Linked DNA regions of Drosophila melanogaster. The protein of the gene in region 3 interacts with the protein of the main gene of each other region in a pairwise test. Each region holds a gene or a part of one and is shown on either strand. Other genes may lie near its edges.

Region 1 (6,222 bases), on a different chromosome or scaffold from region 3:
TTTCTGGTTGGTTCGTATATATGGTAAATGTATTTGTCACCCGTATCATTTGCTGTGGAGCGTTAAAGCGACAACAGCAGCAGCGGCAGCAGCAGCAGCCATTTCCAGGCCATCCGCGTAGTTACGCGTCTCCAGGCCCAATCCCGTATATATCTGGCCATAGTTGCAGGGGCCCAATTCCCTCCTGCCCCTTTTTAATTACGGGTCACAGTGGATGAGCGCAGGGGCGCAGCAACAGTTGCCACTGGTCGGTCGCTGCCACTTTTGTTACCATTTACATTTCCTGTCAACGGCATTTTCAATTTTCACTTTAACGCCTATTTGCTCCTCCATTTCTTTGCCTCTCCCTGTTAAATTGCTCTTCTTGGTCTGTTAATTGTGAGTGTGTGCTACCAAGTGGATGCATAAATTGTATTTTATTTTTTGTGCCCTGTAACTTTGGCCCAAATGGCGATGCGGGCTGATCAGGTGAAAACAAAAGACGCAGCAAGCATTAGGCCCAGCAATGCCCCCGCCTCACCAAAAAGTTCACCCTCTGGCTGATCTGGCCCTGATATTGTTGCCACTTGTGTATTCTCATGTTGTGGCTTTAGGAGAAATAATTTATTTGGCCAATAACCAGAGGAAAGTTGCTGTGTTTGGGGGGGAAGAACATACTTAGGTATCATTAGAAAATTTTTGAATGTTTTAGTAAATGTTTACTAATTAAAGAAAATTCAAAACTATATTTATTTCATAGTTAATATGAACAGACAACAGTCTAATGATTCAAATGCCGTTCCTTTCTAAGGCGACCCATGAAACAGAATACATATTTATACATACAAGTGACTCAAAATAAAAAGCAATCATGGCCAGTTATCGGAATGTTCAATTTACAATACGTGTTAAGCGGCATAGATCGGCATTACCCAGTCCATTAATCATCCCCCTAATCTGGCGAATATTCCAAACGATAAACCCCTGAATATCTATGCTCTGCCAAAGGTTTCCACTGCTTTTTGTTGGCATATCCTTAAACAGAGTTAAACAGAACAATGGGGACTGATAAGGGGCATAATAAGTAATTAAATTTCTGTGATGCTTATCGAGTATGTAGCCCCCACCACAGAAATTCCTCCATCTCCATCGCCGGAACTTCAAAATCTCTCTCTTCTCTTCTCTCGAAAGAGAGGAAGCCTATGTGTGCGTGTTTATCCGACCAATCGGAGGCGAGAAGAGACGACTGGAACTGGAAGCAACTGAGACTGCCTGGAAGGCAATGTATCTGACGGATACGTTTTACCACTCTGCCAGCTGCGTGGAGTTTTTTGGCAAATTATGCGGGTGGCTCGTCGCTGTATCGTCGCTTTCCCCGCTTTCCCGCTCCTCCGCCCACTTTCGAATATTTTGTTGGTTTTTGTAGGTGGAGCCAGAGCCATAATACCATTCCTTTGTTGACAAAACTTGGCACTACTACTCGCTCGCTGAAGTTTGTTTTTGTCTGCTGCTGCCGCTGCTGCTCTTTTGTTTTTCGTATCTGCCAGATACGCGCGCACATCCCGCCCTGCAGGTTGTATTCGAGGTTCAGCGAAAAGGTCGTCATTCTCACGGTTGTTTCCCATCGTCGGCGTCGCGTGCGCAATTCAGTTCAATCCAATCCAATCCGTTCCGAGGAGCTTCAACTAGCGACGGCTATCCGCGAGATACAAGTGCCCAGTGGATACAAGTGTCGCCTAATTGGATTACAATGCTCAAGTGTTGCCTGTTCGCAGGGCTTTCGAATCGCGGAAAACTCATTTAGGAGCAGTTGAGGTTTTATTGGATATTTTTAATTATACCACCTAATACCTGGATTAAAGAAGCTGCTTCAATTGGAATATGGTTGTTATGTAAGTTCTAAATAGTCCCTTTTTCGGAGATTTTCAAATGTAAATTCGAAATTTTATTGCCAAAAAATACTTTTAATAGGACAATAATCATATACTTTGTTCTCGAACCTTTTATCAAATATAATGGTAATTATTGAAATATGCTTAAAATAGGTTTCACTAAGTTTCTAAATTATTCTGCTTGGAACCCAAAGGAATATGGATTAAAAATTAATTTGCTCACATTATTCAAGGCATAGAGCTACCGAAGAATTAAAAAGCTCTCAGTACAAATGTTTCAAATTATTGCTGATCTGAACTGTGCCGACACGCGTTAAACCCAAGCCATCTGCGTAAGTGTTGAGCTTCCAAACACCTCAGATCAATCTCGGATGAAGAATGGGCCACAAATCAAACGATAAAGAGGCAGCGGGGGAGGTCAGGGAAAATGTAAATGATTTCAAACGCTTTATTATCACGCTGAGCGCGTTCCACAGCTTAGTTAATGGCACTCCGGTCCAGTCCAATCCGCTCCAAAGAGCCGCGGGGTGTGCCTCGTATTTTGGATGTTGGATTTCGGAAGGGGGATCTCGAATCTTGGAAACCGGCGGACCACACACAGTCGTAGGCGGAGCGGCGCTCGAGTGAAAGGGTCAAAGAGCCGATGATGATGATGATGCCCCCCCGGCCCCTTCGATTTATAGAGACATATTTTCTAGGTGACAAACTTATTATGAGCCCTGGACAGAGGAGGCCCAAAAATACAGATCTCGAACGAAGTGAGACGCTATCAGCATCAGATAAGCCCAACTAACGAGCGCCCCGAAGTGTCGAGCAGTCAATTTACGGACCCAAAACAAAGCGAGCCACTAGCCACGAACAGGTTCAATCGGGGGAAACCAAAGACCACCAGGCGAACCGTAGCACAGGTATTTGGTGTGTGGTTCTTGGTGCTAGATGCTGTGCAACCTGCTGACTTCCAAGTACACATAAAAACACTCAGGGGACCGAGGCGAATCGATCCATCGGCTTCGAAATCGATGGAAGACAAATTTATTGCTAATTGCAGAGCTCGCTCTCTAATAACTCCCACACATGGAGAATCTCGGCTGAGGCCCTCCATCGAGTCTAGCGATTCCCAGCTGACTCACGATCGGAGTGTCGGTTTAATATGCATCTCCGCCTCCTCAACTGGCGCTCGAATTACGATTGTGGCCAGCTTGGATTACCTGGTGCACAAGATTTGGGGCTAACGGTACCAGCCCTCTAAACTGGGCCTAAATAACCATGCGTTTCATGAGGCCCATAAACCTGGCAAACGTTTCATTTGATTGGTTTGTGTTGGGTTGGGATGGCCCCCTACGAAACAGTTTAGGGCGCAATTAAGATAGGATTTCAATTCCTTAAACGATGCTTAGGCTTTGGCGATAAAGTCACAGTTAAATGGATCACTTAAAGTTTTTACTCGATGTAAAGAGTTTTAATGTAAATAAATTCGATTTAAAAGTTAATGCTGTGACTCACAGTTTTGCCTTAACTTAGATTCCAAAAGGGCAGTGGTGTTTTTTTATTATGTGGCTACTAGAAGTGATATAAAAATCTGAACTCAAGTTAAAGTATGTTTTGTGCTCTTTGGCAAAATTCAAATATAATAATATAGTATTCTTAACTATGAATATAAAATGCAACTTATTATATATAAAATCCTCTACAGAAATGGCTACAGCTTCAAGACGCAGCAACTTCTCACACAGCAACCCGATCATTCTCAGCTTACCCAGTTTGTCCAGCCCCAAAGTCAGAGTACGCATTCGGTGCATCCGGGTCCAAGTCCTGGTCAACAGCAGGCGGGTGGCTCCATGACCATGCCGTCGTCGTCGACGGGCAAGGGAAAACGGGAGTGGGACATCAATGATGCCATTGTGCCACATGTGCCGGACCAGGAGTTCGACGAGTTCAACGAGTGGAGCGACGGGCATGTGAGGCACATCTATTCGCTGCACAACGAGGAGGCCAAGAAGCACATTTCCGGCTGGGCCATGCGCAACACGAACAACCACAACGTGAACATTCTGAAGAAGAGCTGCCTGGGCGTCCTGGTCTGCTCCCAACACTGCACCCTGCCCAACGGATCCAAGATCAACCTGCGCCCAGCCATTTGCGACAAAGCCCGGCGGAAGCAGGAGGGCAAGGCGTGTCCCAACAAAAGTTGTCGTGGCGGTAGACTAGAGATTAAACCGTGTCGCGGTCACTGCGGCTATCCGGTGACCCACTTCTGGCGGCACTCCGGCAATGCCATCTTTTTTCAGGCCAAGGGAGTGCATGATCACCTGCGTCCGGATCCGAAGAACTCCAGTGTTTCCAAGCGGGCCTTTGGACGTGTGCCGCTGGCTGGAAAGTCAGCCAACGGATCAGTCGCCAAGAAGTCGGTCATTGCGGGTCTGGTCAAGCAGGCGAAGGTGAGCTTAGATAGACATTCATTCACCCGGGATGTATCATCTTAACCATTCTTCTCTGACGACAGCAACAACACAGTCTGATTAGCAAGGTTCTTAAGCGTCCTGCTGTCAGCAATCCTCTGGCTCACACCGCATTGGATATATATCAGTATAATGGTAGGTATATAAAACAAGAATATTTAAAGATTTCTTTTACAATTTGTATCCCCCATTAGCCTGTGGCAAGTGCGCCGGTTATAGCCACTGCACTTGCAGCTACCTGGATGACAGCACCACGGCGAGGAGCCATCAGTTGTCACAATCCTCGAATTACGGCACCAATTCTTGGCCACTAAGTGGATCCGAGTCATCGGCACCCTGCGAGACGGCAGCTAATGTGTTTACGGTCAACCACCAGCACATCACCTATAACTATCCCATCTACCATGCAACTCCAGCGGCGGCCACCGCGGCACCTAGTAAATCTCCCAGTTTGCCCTACGCCTGCAGCATTTCGGAACTGGCCGCATACCAGCAATCCTCCAGCGGGAACAGCTTTGCGATGGGTGTTCCCGTGCACGGACACACACAATGCCAGGCAGTAGCCTATGATTCCAGCCCGCAACTGGCCACTCCGGAACCGGAGTTCATCAACTACTCGCAGATCAAGCATTTGGGTGGTGGCGGTGGTCAGGAGGAGATCAGCTGCAAGGCCGAACCGGGACCCACCATTAAGTACAATGCCACCGTGGAGACGCAGCCGTATGTGGAGGACAACTACGATTACTACTATAGCCCCAAGGCGGAGTACGAAATGCAACAGCACCACCACCAGCAGCAGCAGAGCCACCAACAGTTCGGTGGAAATCAGACAGCGGGACATCACTACTACGAGAGCAGTAGTGGCTATAATGGAGTCAGCTATTTCGACACAGGAACTACTACGGCACCAGGAAATACTGCAACCGGAAATGGCCTGGAAGTCGGATACGGCGGCTACTACGATCACTACACCAGCTACGAGCAACAAATGGCGGTAGCAGGTGGATTTGCCACTGCCGGAGGATCCACTGCGCCGACAGTGGCCGCGCCCCCTGGCCATCCACCGCCTCCACCACCACCGCCCACGCTGACGTACCACCATCACCATCACCACCACTTGCACCACCCAGCAGCAGCTACAGGCCTAGCCCCATCGGTCACCCATTGAATAGTACTTAACCAATCCGGACACCGGAGGATTACTCATAGTCGATAGCTAAGCATAGTAACATAGTGTTTAAAATAGTGGTGAAATCTTAATTTCCATCTGTACGTGTAGTGTTAAACGGTTTACCAATTGTTTTTCTCGGCAAATAAATTATGAAAAGTGTTGATTTGTAAAAGTAAATGTATTTAATTTAAGTGCGTAAATATAATTTCTTATTGCGCGACCAATTCAAACATAGCTAATTTTCAGCGGTCATGATGGTGCGGTTCTTGAAATCAGAGATAGATGTCGCGCTGTAAAAAAATTGTTGGTAAGAACCATGTAAAATGTAATGGTAAAAACCATGTAATGTAGACAAGCAGGTGCTCACTTAACCATAACTGTAGTAATTTTAGGACGCATTTAATGATTTGTAGTTTAAAATCGATAGATAGTAAGATATACTTTAATACGAATGATGTTTTATAATTGGCGGAAACATTTAAAGAAAAACAAATTGGCTGCCAAGACCCAAATTTTGTACCGCTTACATGGCTTGCAGTTTTTTTTTAAAAAGCCTCCTACCGGTAAGAAACTGAACTACTGCAGAGTTGCTTTACGATAAACTCACAATGACACACAGACACAGACACACAGACATAACCAGACTAAAGAGAATAGTACTACAAGTTATAATCGCTATCTTCAGCAAGAGGATTTCACATTTAAAGTAATCGCATAGTGG
Region 2 (3,637 bases), on a different chromosome or scaffold from region 3:
TTGACACAGAAGCTCAAGTGGACATGGGAGCGGTGCTTCGAGACCGCGCCAGCCTTCGCGCGGTAACACAATCAAAAGTATTTTTGATTCGCGACCTTGACGAGCTTACTACTGAAGACGAACTGAGGTGGGCCTGGAGTCCCAGACAGAGATCACAGCAGCAGTGTTGGCAATCAAGAGCCTCTGACAAACGCAGTATGGAGGGAAGACTGCTGAAATAGCAGTTCCAGCCAATCTGGCGGAACCGCTGATCACGCTGATCACTGACAGCGGATGCTAGAGGCCGGACCCAGGTTCAGGTGGTGGAGACTCAGCGAGGAATACACTGCCAGTGACCACTTGGCCATCATTTGCGACCTAGGATGCCCTTCCTCGACCCAAGCCCAGACAGCAGCCCTAGCCATGATGAAATACAAAAAAACATGCAAAGAACATCGACGGGCATTCGTCATCGCAGGTGCATAAAAGTTCATGCTTTTTGTCGAAATACTCTGCAGTATGCCGATTTGCCACGAAAGGAGAGACGGATAAATAACGGATGAGGGCGAAAACGTGCAATCAGAAGTGGCTCTTCTCTAACACACACACACACACACACATCTTCACTCGAAAAAAAATGGAGTTGCTGTTGTTTCCTATTTCGAATGTTTGTTATGGAAGGATAAATAACAGATGAGGGAGAAAAGAAAGCGTGACACACACACGCACCTTAAAAAAAAATGGAGTTCTTGTTGTTTCACAACTTATACACTTTACTTCACAACTGTTAGCGACTTATTATTATTAAGTGGGTTTGTAGGTGTACTGCGACCCAGTCGGCTCTATTGTACTACTACCCCTTCATGACTCAACGATCCCCCTGAAGTCCAATGCACTGTATAAATGCCAGAATTTTATTGTGGTTCAGGGGATTCTGTTTCTCTTGATGGCCAAGCGCCATCCATGCAGCAGAAGCGACAGAGTTCACTTCTGCAATGCCAATTTGTACAAATGGCTGTGAAGCCGGCAATGCCCCGTAAGAATGCCGAGTCAAAATGCGCACGGTGTCTAGTCCCGTGTGCGACTAGAATGCGAGCATAATTCTCAAAAACTGCATCATGCCCATTTGCGGAAAAAAACAGAAAAAAAGAGACGGATAGATAACGGATGAGGGGGAAAACGTGCACTCAGAAGTGACTCCTCCCACATACACAACACACACAGTGTTCACTCGAAAAAATGGAGTTTCGGTCGTAAAAATGGAGTTTCGCTCCTTTCCCATTTCTACAGTTTGGTGAGAAAATATTACGGTTAAATTACTGACCTACCTTAACTCGAAAAAATGGAATTCCTGTTGTTTCCCAGTTCGAATGTTTGTCGAGGAAAGATAACGGATAAAATTACGCACGCACCGTTACTCGAAAAAAATGGCGTTTTTGCTGTTTCCCCTTTCGACACGCGCAAATCCACAATGCGCGGAGCTTTGCTTCATGGCCCGACTGAATGAACTGAACTGACAGCGCATTAAACGCCGGTATTATTAGTGTGACCACCGATGCGATAGTTTATAATACCATGGTATACCCAAAATAAATACCAAAAACTAACGGAAAGCACATCAACTGTTTCTGCCGCATAAACAAAAACTGCTGTTCGTCTAACGTGAAACACATAACTTTGAAATTATTGCTTTGCCAACACCGCCCAATGATTCGCAACGTAGTGGTGGGCGTGTCGGGCGGCGTGGACAGCGCCGTTTCCGCCCACCTGCTGGCGGAGCAAGGATTCAAGGTGCTGGGTGTGTTTATGCGCAACTGGGATGAGGCGGACGAAGTGGGTCGCTGCAGTGGGGAGGCGGATCTGAAGGACGCCGAGTGGGCGTGCCGGCAGCTCGGCGTGGAGCTGCGTCAGGTGAACTATGTGCGCGAGTACTGGACGGCGGTGTTCAGCCAGTTTCTGGACGATTACCAAATGGGCTTGACACCAAATCCGGACATCCTGTGCAATCGCCACATTAAGTTTGACCTCTTTCACAAGCACGCCTTGGAAAATCTCGGCTACGATGCCGTGGCCACGGGTCACTACGCCCGGAATAGTCTGGGCAACTACCTGGAGGGGATTGCCTCCAACAACGACGCCCGCTTGCTAATACCCGCCGATACGTTCAAGGACCAGACATTCTTTTTGGCAGGTATTTCCCGAAAGGCTCTGCAACGCACGATGTTCCCTTTGGGAGACTTCCAGAAGAGCCAGGTCAAGGACTTGGCCAAGAAGATTGGCTTCCAGCGACTGGCCAAAAAGAAGGAAAGCACTGGCATTTGTTTCGTTGGCAAACGCAACTTCAAGGACTTCATACAGGAGGTAAAGCACTTGCCGCGATTGAAAAAGCACATGGCTCAATTTCCTTGATTTCACCACGGACTCAAATCTGGTTTCCCTCCACTTTCAGTACATCACTTCCAAACGTGGTCCCTTCCTAGACATCGACAGTGGAGCCGTTGTCGGCCACCACGAGGGCATCCATCAATGGACTGTGGGCCAGCGGTGCCGTCTGAGCTCATTCCTTCAGCCCTATTTTGTGGCCAGGAAAGAGGCCGCAAGCAATACCATCTATGTGGCATCTGGCCACAACCATCCCGCCCTTCTCAGCACCCACATAGCCGTCGATCCGCCCAACTGGCTGTGTTCCAAGTCCCAACAGATTCTTTCGGACACTGGCAGCTTGAGGTGTCGCTTTCGATTCCAGCACACCAAACCATTGGTGGACTGTCAGCTGAGCATCTCTCCCAGTAACACTTTTCTTGTCGAGTTGGACGCTCCTTTAAGAGCTATTACACCAGGACAATATGCCGTATTCTATGACGACACAGCTTGTTTGGGTTCGGCCCGCATCCTCAGCGCTAATCCCCTAAAGAAAAAAAACGCACAGACGCAGCAAGCTCAAGCCGCAAATCTGGTTAGCTAATGATGTTTCCTCTGAGCCAGAAAATAAACCAAATGTAAGAAGGCAGTCCAACTGCCAACACGGCATGTATAGATAGCATGGTAAATACGTTTTCATAAATTTAAGCGCCGAGTAAATTTTAGACGTGAATCGACACTTTTAATTCCATGGTAAACACTTTAATTTAAATTTATTATTCTAGGTCAAATTTACAATTAGTTTTTGAAAAAGGACATTTTGCATTTTGTGGTCCTGGGAGCAATGATAAAGTTATTAACACACAATCGTACATAAATAGGGTTTGGTAAAATCTTAAACTAAGTGTACACGTGAGGTCTCGCGATATAAAACTAGCTTAGCACATAATATGATTGAGCAGGGATGTGTCGGTAGCAGGTAGAATAGAAAGCGGCGTGGATTAGGCTAACAGCACCGTGAGGGAGTCCAGAAAGCGTGTGAGGTCGCTCTGCCGCAGCTGCACCACCGCTGGCTCGAAAAAGTCCTGCAATAGAGCGACTCCACTCTTTTGCGCCGCCTGCTCGAAGGCCTTGCCAAAGAAGTTTCGCGGAGAGTCTTCCCTTACCGGGACAATGCCTACCAGCAAGCACATGCCCTCCGAAGCGTTCAGGGGACAACTTGCGATCAACGGCAAGTCCGAAGCCTGCCTGGCTCTACTCGTGGCCACATGTCCGCGCAAAAGAAAGCGAGCCAACA
Region 3 (5,051 bases):
GTATCCACACAATAACTCAGGCCATAAGCCCAAAATCCAACCCTGGACTCTGCGAGCTGGGAGCTGAAACGAAAACGGATCTCAACGCACTGCCCAATGCCCAGTGGCGCTTTTGGGGGCGTGGCTGCGCCCAGCAAGAGCAGTGACAGAGCCGATAATGGATGCGCAGCAATGCCATTTCTGGCAGATCGGGGAGTACTCCGCGGCTTCTGATAAGACCACCACCAGCGGAGCACACTCGAAGAAATTAAGGGCGCCAACCAAATTCAAATGTATGCAGTGTTGTATTAGGGAAAAACATGGCATAAGTGAAGTTTAAACACAGATAACGGTATCTTTCAATGCTAAAAATTCTATATTTAGATTGAACAAACTTAGAAAATTTTGATTTACTAAAGAGATGTCTTCAACAGAAAGGAAGCTAAAGGAAGTAGTCTCATAATATTATGAACTAAAATCTAAGATCGTTTTGTTAACTACTTGATAGAATATGAAAGGTTATTTTCTCATCTGAGAAGTCTGTTATTTATCTCAGTGCATTGGATCCGCTCCGGCAGCGGGACAAGTAGTTGTTGAAAGCGTCGAGCGAGTGCCCAGCCAGGAACGCCCGGCTCTTTGGCTCACTGGCTCATCGGCTCACTTAGCGAAGGAAGGAGTCGTAAGTTGGCTGGGACGTGGCGATCGGCGGATCGATCGATCGGATTACCCGGCAGGCTTTTAAATTCAACACATCCTGCGGTCGCCGCGGCAATTATATGCTCGTTGCCGCTCGCATCCAGATCTGATCTGCCACGCCCCCCTTGTTGGGCGTGCGACGGCAATTATAGATCCGCTGAGATGCCAAAAGACGCTGACTTAAATAAATGCGCGAGTTTGGAAATTGAAAGGGAATTAGCGGTGGGCAGGCAGAGCCGAACTGCGGAAATATTGTGCATAATTATATGCTAATCCGAATGGCATTGAATTATGTGCAGACGCGTGTGGTCACCTACCTTTTGGACTTTTCCTCCAAGGGGCACTGAAAAATGGGGAAAAGGGAAATGGCTTTTAGGCGGCTCCAAATTCTCTCAGATTTGAGTTCCCTTTCATCTTTGGTGGCCCTGCCACCCGCGGTCTGTTTGCATTGAAGTCGATCATGTAAGTAATTTCCCCTGTCCGGGATTCAAAACACCGAAATCGAATCAAAATCCACCGACAGTCGGTAGGAGATTGATTACTGTTAGGAGTGTGATAAATCGCTGTTTTTATTAACTTTTTTCGGGATGACGCAGCGCAAATTGGCGGCGCTGCATCTCCAGTCGCCGCACGAGTACTGAAGATCTGGAAATCAGATCAGCGTGATAATGTATAATTTGTTGAAGGGTTTTCGGCGTGCTCGCAACAAAGGCGATGCCATCGAGTTGGGTTAATTGAATTTGCTGGAGAGCGGACAGAGATTTTTGTGCAATATTTAGCTAAAATATGTATGTGTATATTAACATTATTAACATTATTAACACATTAACATTAACATATGTTGGATAATGATGAATAAAAATGGTTTTCTAAATGTCTAATTTAATTTATATAATTTCGAAAATATTTGTTCTTATCTAACTTTTTTCGAAATATTTAGTAAATAAGCAGCTTGAATATATTATATGCAAGCTATATACAATAAATATAATACAGCAACAGAGTAAAAAAATATTTTATTGTTTTTATAAAACCGATAGAATTTTAAATTAAAACATTAAAACATGTTAAAGCTAATATTTTTAGGTTTTCTTTTATGAAAGACAGTTTCAAATATATTAAACTTGTTTGCTTAAGATATTTAAATATCCCGCTCATTTTCAATAAACTATCGATATATCGCAATTCCGAACGTTCCACTTTAGTTGCACTTTGGTCACACTGCAAAACAAAAATCCAAGTGGAACTTTGAGATGGGTAAATATCGATAGTATGCCCAACTTCCTTTGGTTTTCCATGCAATATTCGGTATATCGATGCTGTCGTGAGTGGTCAGCTCATCTCCAATTCCAAGTGGGACACGCTTAACACTTTTTTTTTGCCAATTTGCCATTAATTGCAAGCGTCCCAGCTGATCCAAAAAAATTCAAAACTCTGTTAAATGCGTTTGGCCAGGCGTTCGTCGCGATCCGTGGACTTTAAAGGCTCGTAAGCGTGTGTGAGAGCTTCAAATCGCCCCATCTCAAAGCCAAGATTGCACCCAAATCAGCGCCAGCGTCAGCAAAAGTTTCATTAGCAACTCGGTTATCAGCTGCGAAACTGAAGCCAACTGAACGCAAAGAGTTGGGCAATCCGCCAGAGCAGGGCCAGAAACCATAGAAACCAGTTGCCATGGCGAGTCCCAGAACGCGACGGGTGCTCCAGGAACTGAAACCCCAGGATGAGAACTCGGTAGGTTTGCTCCTTTGTCCACATACGCTAGATAAGCTTCAATTTCTTTGTTTAAAAATGACTAGAAATGCTTCGAGTGCGGTACCCACAATCCGCAGTGGGTGTCCGTGACCTACGGCATCTGGATCTGCCTGGAGTGCTCCGGCAAGCATCGCAGTCTGGGCGTGCATCTGTCCTTCGTGCGCTCCGTCACTATGGATAAGTGGAAGGACATCGAGCTGGAGAAGATGAAGGCGGGCGGCAATCGCAATGCGCGCGAGTTTCTGGAGGATCAGGAGGACTGGAACGAACGGGCGCCTATCACGCAGCGTTACAACTCGAAGGCGGCTGCTTTGTACCGCGATAAGATAGCCACCTTGGCCCAGGGCAAGAGCTGGGATCTCAAGGAGGCGCAAGGCCGCGTGGGCAGCAACAATAGCTTCAGCTCAGGTGGCTCCAGCAACAGCAGCTACCAGTCGCGACCCAGTGCAACAGGTTATGGCGGAAACGGAGGCTATCAGAATGGCGGAGGCGCCGAGCCTGGAGGCTATCAGCAGTACCAAACGCAGGAGTTCAAGGACCAGAAGGAGGAGTTCTTCAGCCGACGCCAAGTGGAGAATGCCTCCAGGCCAGAGTAGGATCTTAATGGCATATCTGTCCATTAGCTATGATTTATCCTAGTTGATTGTTTCAGAAACTTGCCACCGAGTCAGGGCGGAAAATATGCAGGTTTCGGGTTCACACGCGAACCACCACCGAAAACGCAATCTCAGGAGCTTTTCGACTCGACGCTTTCCACTTTGGCCTCTGGCTGGAGCCTTTTCTCCACCAACGCCTCCAAGTTGGCCAGCACCGCCAAGGAGAAGGCCGTCACCACCGTCAATTTGGCCTCGACAAAGGTGAGTCCTGCGCCTCAGCTCGTATATCTTTCAGATTTTGATTCCTTATTTGCCTATTCTCTTCGATTTGGTTCAATATTATGTTGATTTTGTATTCTTTTGGTTTATTATTAGTCTGCTGATTAGTTTTAAATAATTTAAAGCTGTAGAAACCCACCTTAACAACAAAAGAGAGCAAAATCCCTTTAGTTAATCCCCATATTTGTTTGTTAATTTAATTGGTACACCTTATTGTTTGTATTATTTATTTGCATCTTTTTTTGGTTGTAGATTAAAGAGGGAACTCTGCTAGATTCCGTACAATGCGGAGTTACCGATGTAGCCAGCAAGGTCTGTAGTTCCCCATCATCCAGTTAATCTTCTCTAAACCCACATCCCTCTAACATATAAACATACCGATCGCAGGTCACCGATATGGGCAAACGAGGTTGGAATAATCTGGCGGGCAGCAACATTTCGTCGCCGCAGGGCGGATACAACGATCCCAACTTCGAGGACAGCAGCGCCTACCAGCGTTCCAATTCCGTGGGCGGTAATCTGGCCGGAGGCTTGGGTCAGCAGAGCGGCGTCAGCGACAGCGACTGGGGCGGCTGGCAGGACAACGGCAACAGCAAGTCGCACATGACCAGCTCGAGTTCGTACCACAATCAGTTGAGTAGCAGCAGCGGCGGCGGTACCGCCTCCGCCGGCCTAACCCGCGACGCTGACTGGTCCGGCTTCGAGGCGACGAACTATCAGAGTTCAGAGACCTCCTACCAGAACGCTTCGTCCGGCGGATCGACAGCTCGCCGCAACATGAAGCTGCAGGACACATCGCAGAAGCTGAGCGAGGGCTTCGAGAGCCTGGACGTGAAGAGTGTGAAGCCCAAGACGGCAACGGCCTCGTCCGCCAACAAAGGCACTGCCGAGGACGACGCCTGGAATCTGCTGATGAACTAGAAACCGTGGCGAGCAGCTTATGCGATTGTATTTTTTGTATTCCATTCGGTTGTCAAGTTGTGTCTCCTTTGTTTTATGTGTCTCTTGATGTCTGGCCCCGAGGCTGCTATGCGCGCATTTAATGTAACCAACTGAATTGTGTATTCATTCTTCGACTTCAAACATAAAGTGCAACTATTCCCGATTATTTCCACAGTTTAGACCAATTTTGTATAGATCTACTTAACTAACGAATTACTTAGCTTAAAGTGTATGCCAGGATACTGCGAGGGATGCGAGATGAGAAAATACATATTATGTTAACAAGTGTAGTCGTTCGTTTTTTAAATGGGCGGTTTTAAATTCAAAAAATATAAATATTTGCAAATTTAAAAAATACATTTAAAATTAATAGTGTTACCCTACAATTCCACATTTTAAAAACCACAAATAGGTTTGAGTCACGGCTAAGCAGTGACGCGATGCATTTTAGGGTATTTTCGACCACACAAGAAGTATATCTAGATAAACGTTCGTGGTCACACTGGCAAACCCAAAAAATTAAAATTGAAGAGTTCTGCGTGAATCGCTTTAAGCCACAAAGTCGCCGAAATAGCGTAAAAGCAGACGAACTCTTAAATAGCTCGACCAGTAGGTAGTGACCACAGAAAAAGTGGGAAATGCAATTGAAGCTTGCCACTTTCTTTTGCATATCCACATTCCTTTCGCCTGCATGTGAGCGTGTGTGTGTGTGTGTGCATGAAAATCGAGTGCAGAATAATTTTTGCCAAATTGGCAACAATTTGCAAGCGTTTCGAGAGAAATTTGAGTCACACCTGTCTGGAAAAT

What was found.
Region 1: the proteins of ArfGAP1 (region 3) and gcm2 interact in a two-hybrid assay, tested with the Drosophila melanogaster proteins (one large-scale study listed by BioGRID).
Region 2: the proteins of ArfGAP1 (region 3) and CG3021 interact in a two-hybrid assay, tested with the Drosophila melanogaster proteins (one large-scale study listed by BioGRID).

Annotation. Positions count from the first base shown.
Region 1 is NT_033779.5:9,607,038-9,613,259, forward strand, and holds gcm2 (gcm2), read left to right. Parts: upstream 1-1,524; 5' UTR 1,525-1,860; coding exon 1,861-1,871; intron 1,872-3,564; coding exon 3,565-4,309; intron 4,310-4,374; coding exon 4,375-4,465; intron 4,466-4,524; coding exon 4,525-5,498; 3' UTR 5,499-5,669; downstream 5,670-6,222. UniProt on the Drosophila melanogaster protein: Transcription factor with a minor role promoting glial cell differentiation and a more significant role in hematocyte differentiation.
Region 2 is NC_004354.4:1,025,207-1,028,843, forward strand, and holds CG3021 (uncharacterized protein), read left to right. Parts: upstream 1-1,584; 5' UTR 1,585-1,686; coding exon 1,687-2,340; intron 2,341-2,428; coding exon 2,429-2,944; 3' UTR 2,945-3,084; downstream 3,085-3,637. Other genes in the region: Cdc45 (cell division cycle 45), read right to left, coding at 3,342-3,637. UniProt on the Drosophila melanogaster protein: Catalyzes the 2-thiolation of uridine at the wobble position (U34) of mitochondrial tRNA(Lys), tRNA(Glu) and tRNA(Gln).
Region 3 is NT_037436.4:12,414,508-12,419,558, reverse strand, and holds ArfGAP1 (ADP-ribosylation factor GTPase activating protein 1), read left to right. Parts: upstream 1-1,978; 5' UTR 1,979-2,346; coding exon 2,347-2,406; intron 2,407-2,471; coding exon 2,472-3,019; intron 3,020-3,079; coding exon 3,080-3,284; intron 3,285-3,554; coding exon 3,555-3,614; intron 3,615-3,689; coding exon 3,690-4,223; 3' UTR 4,224-4,533; downstream 4,534-5,051.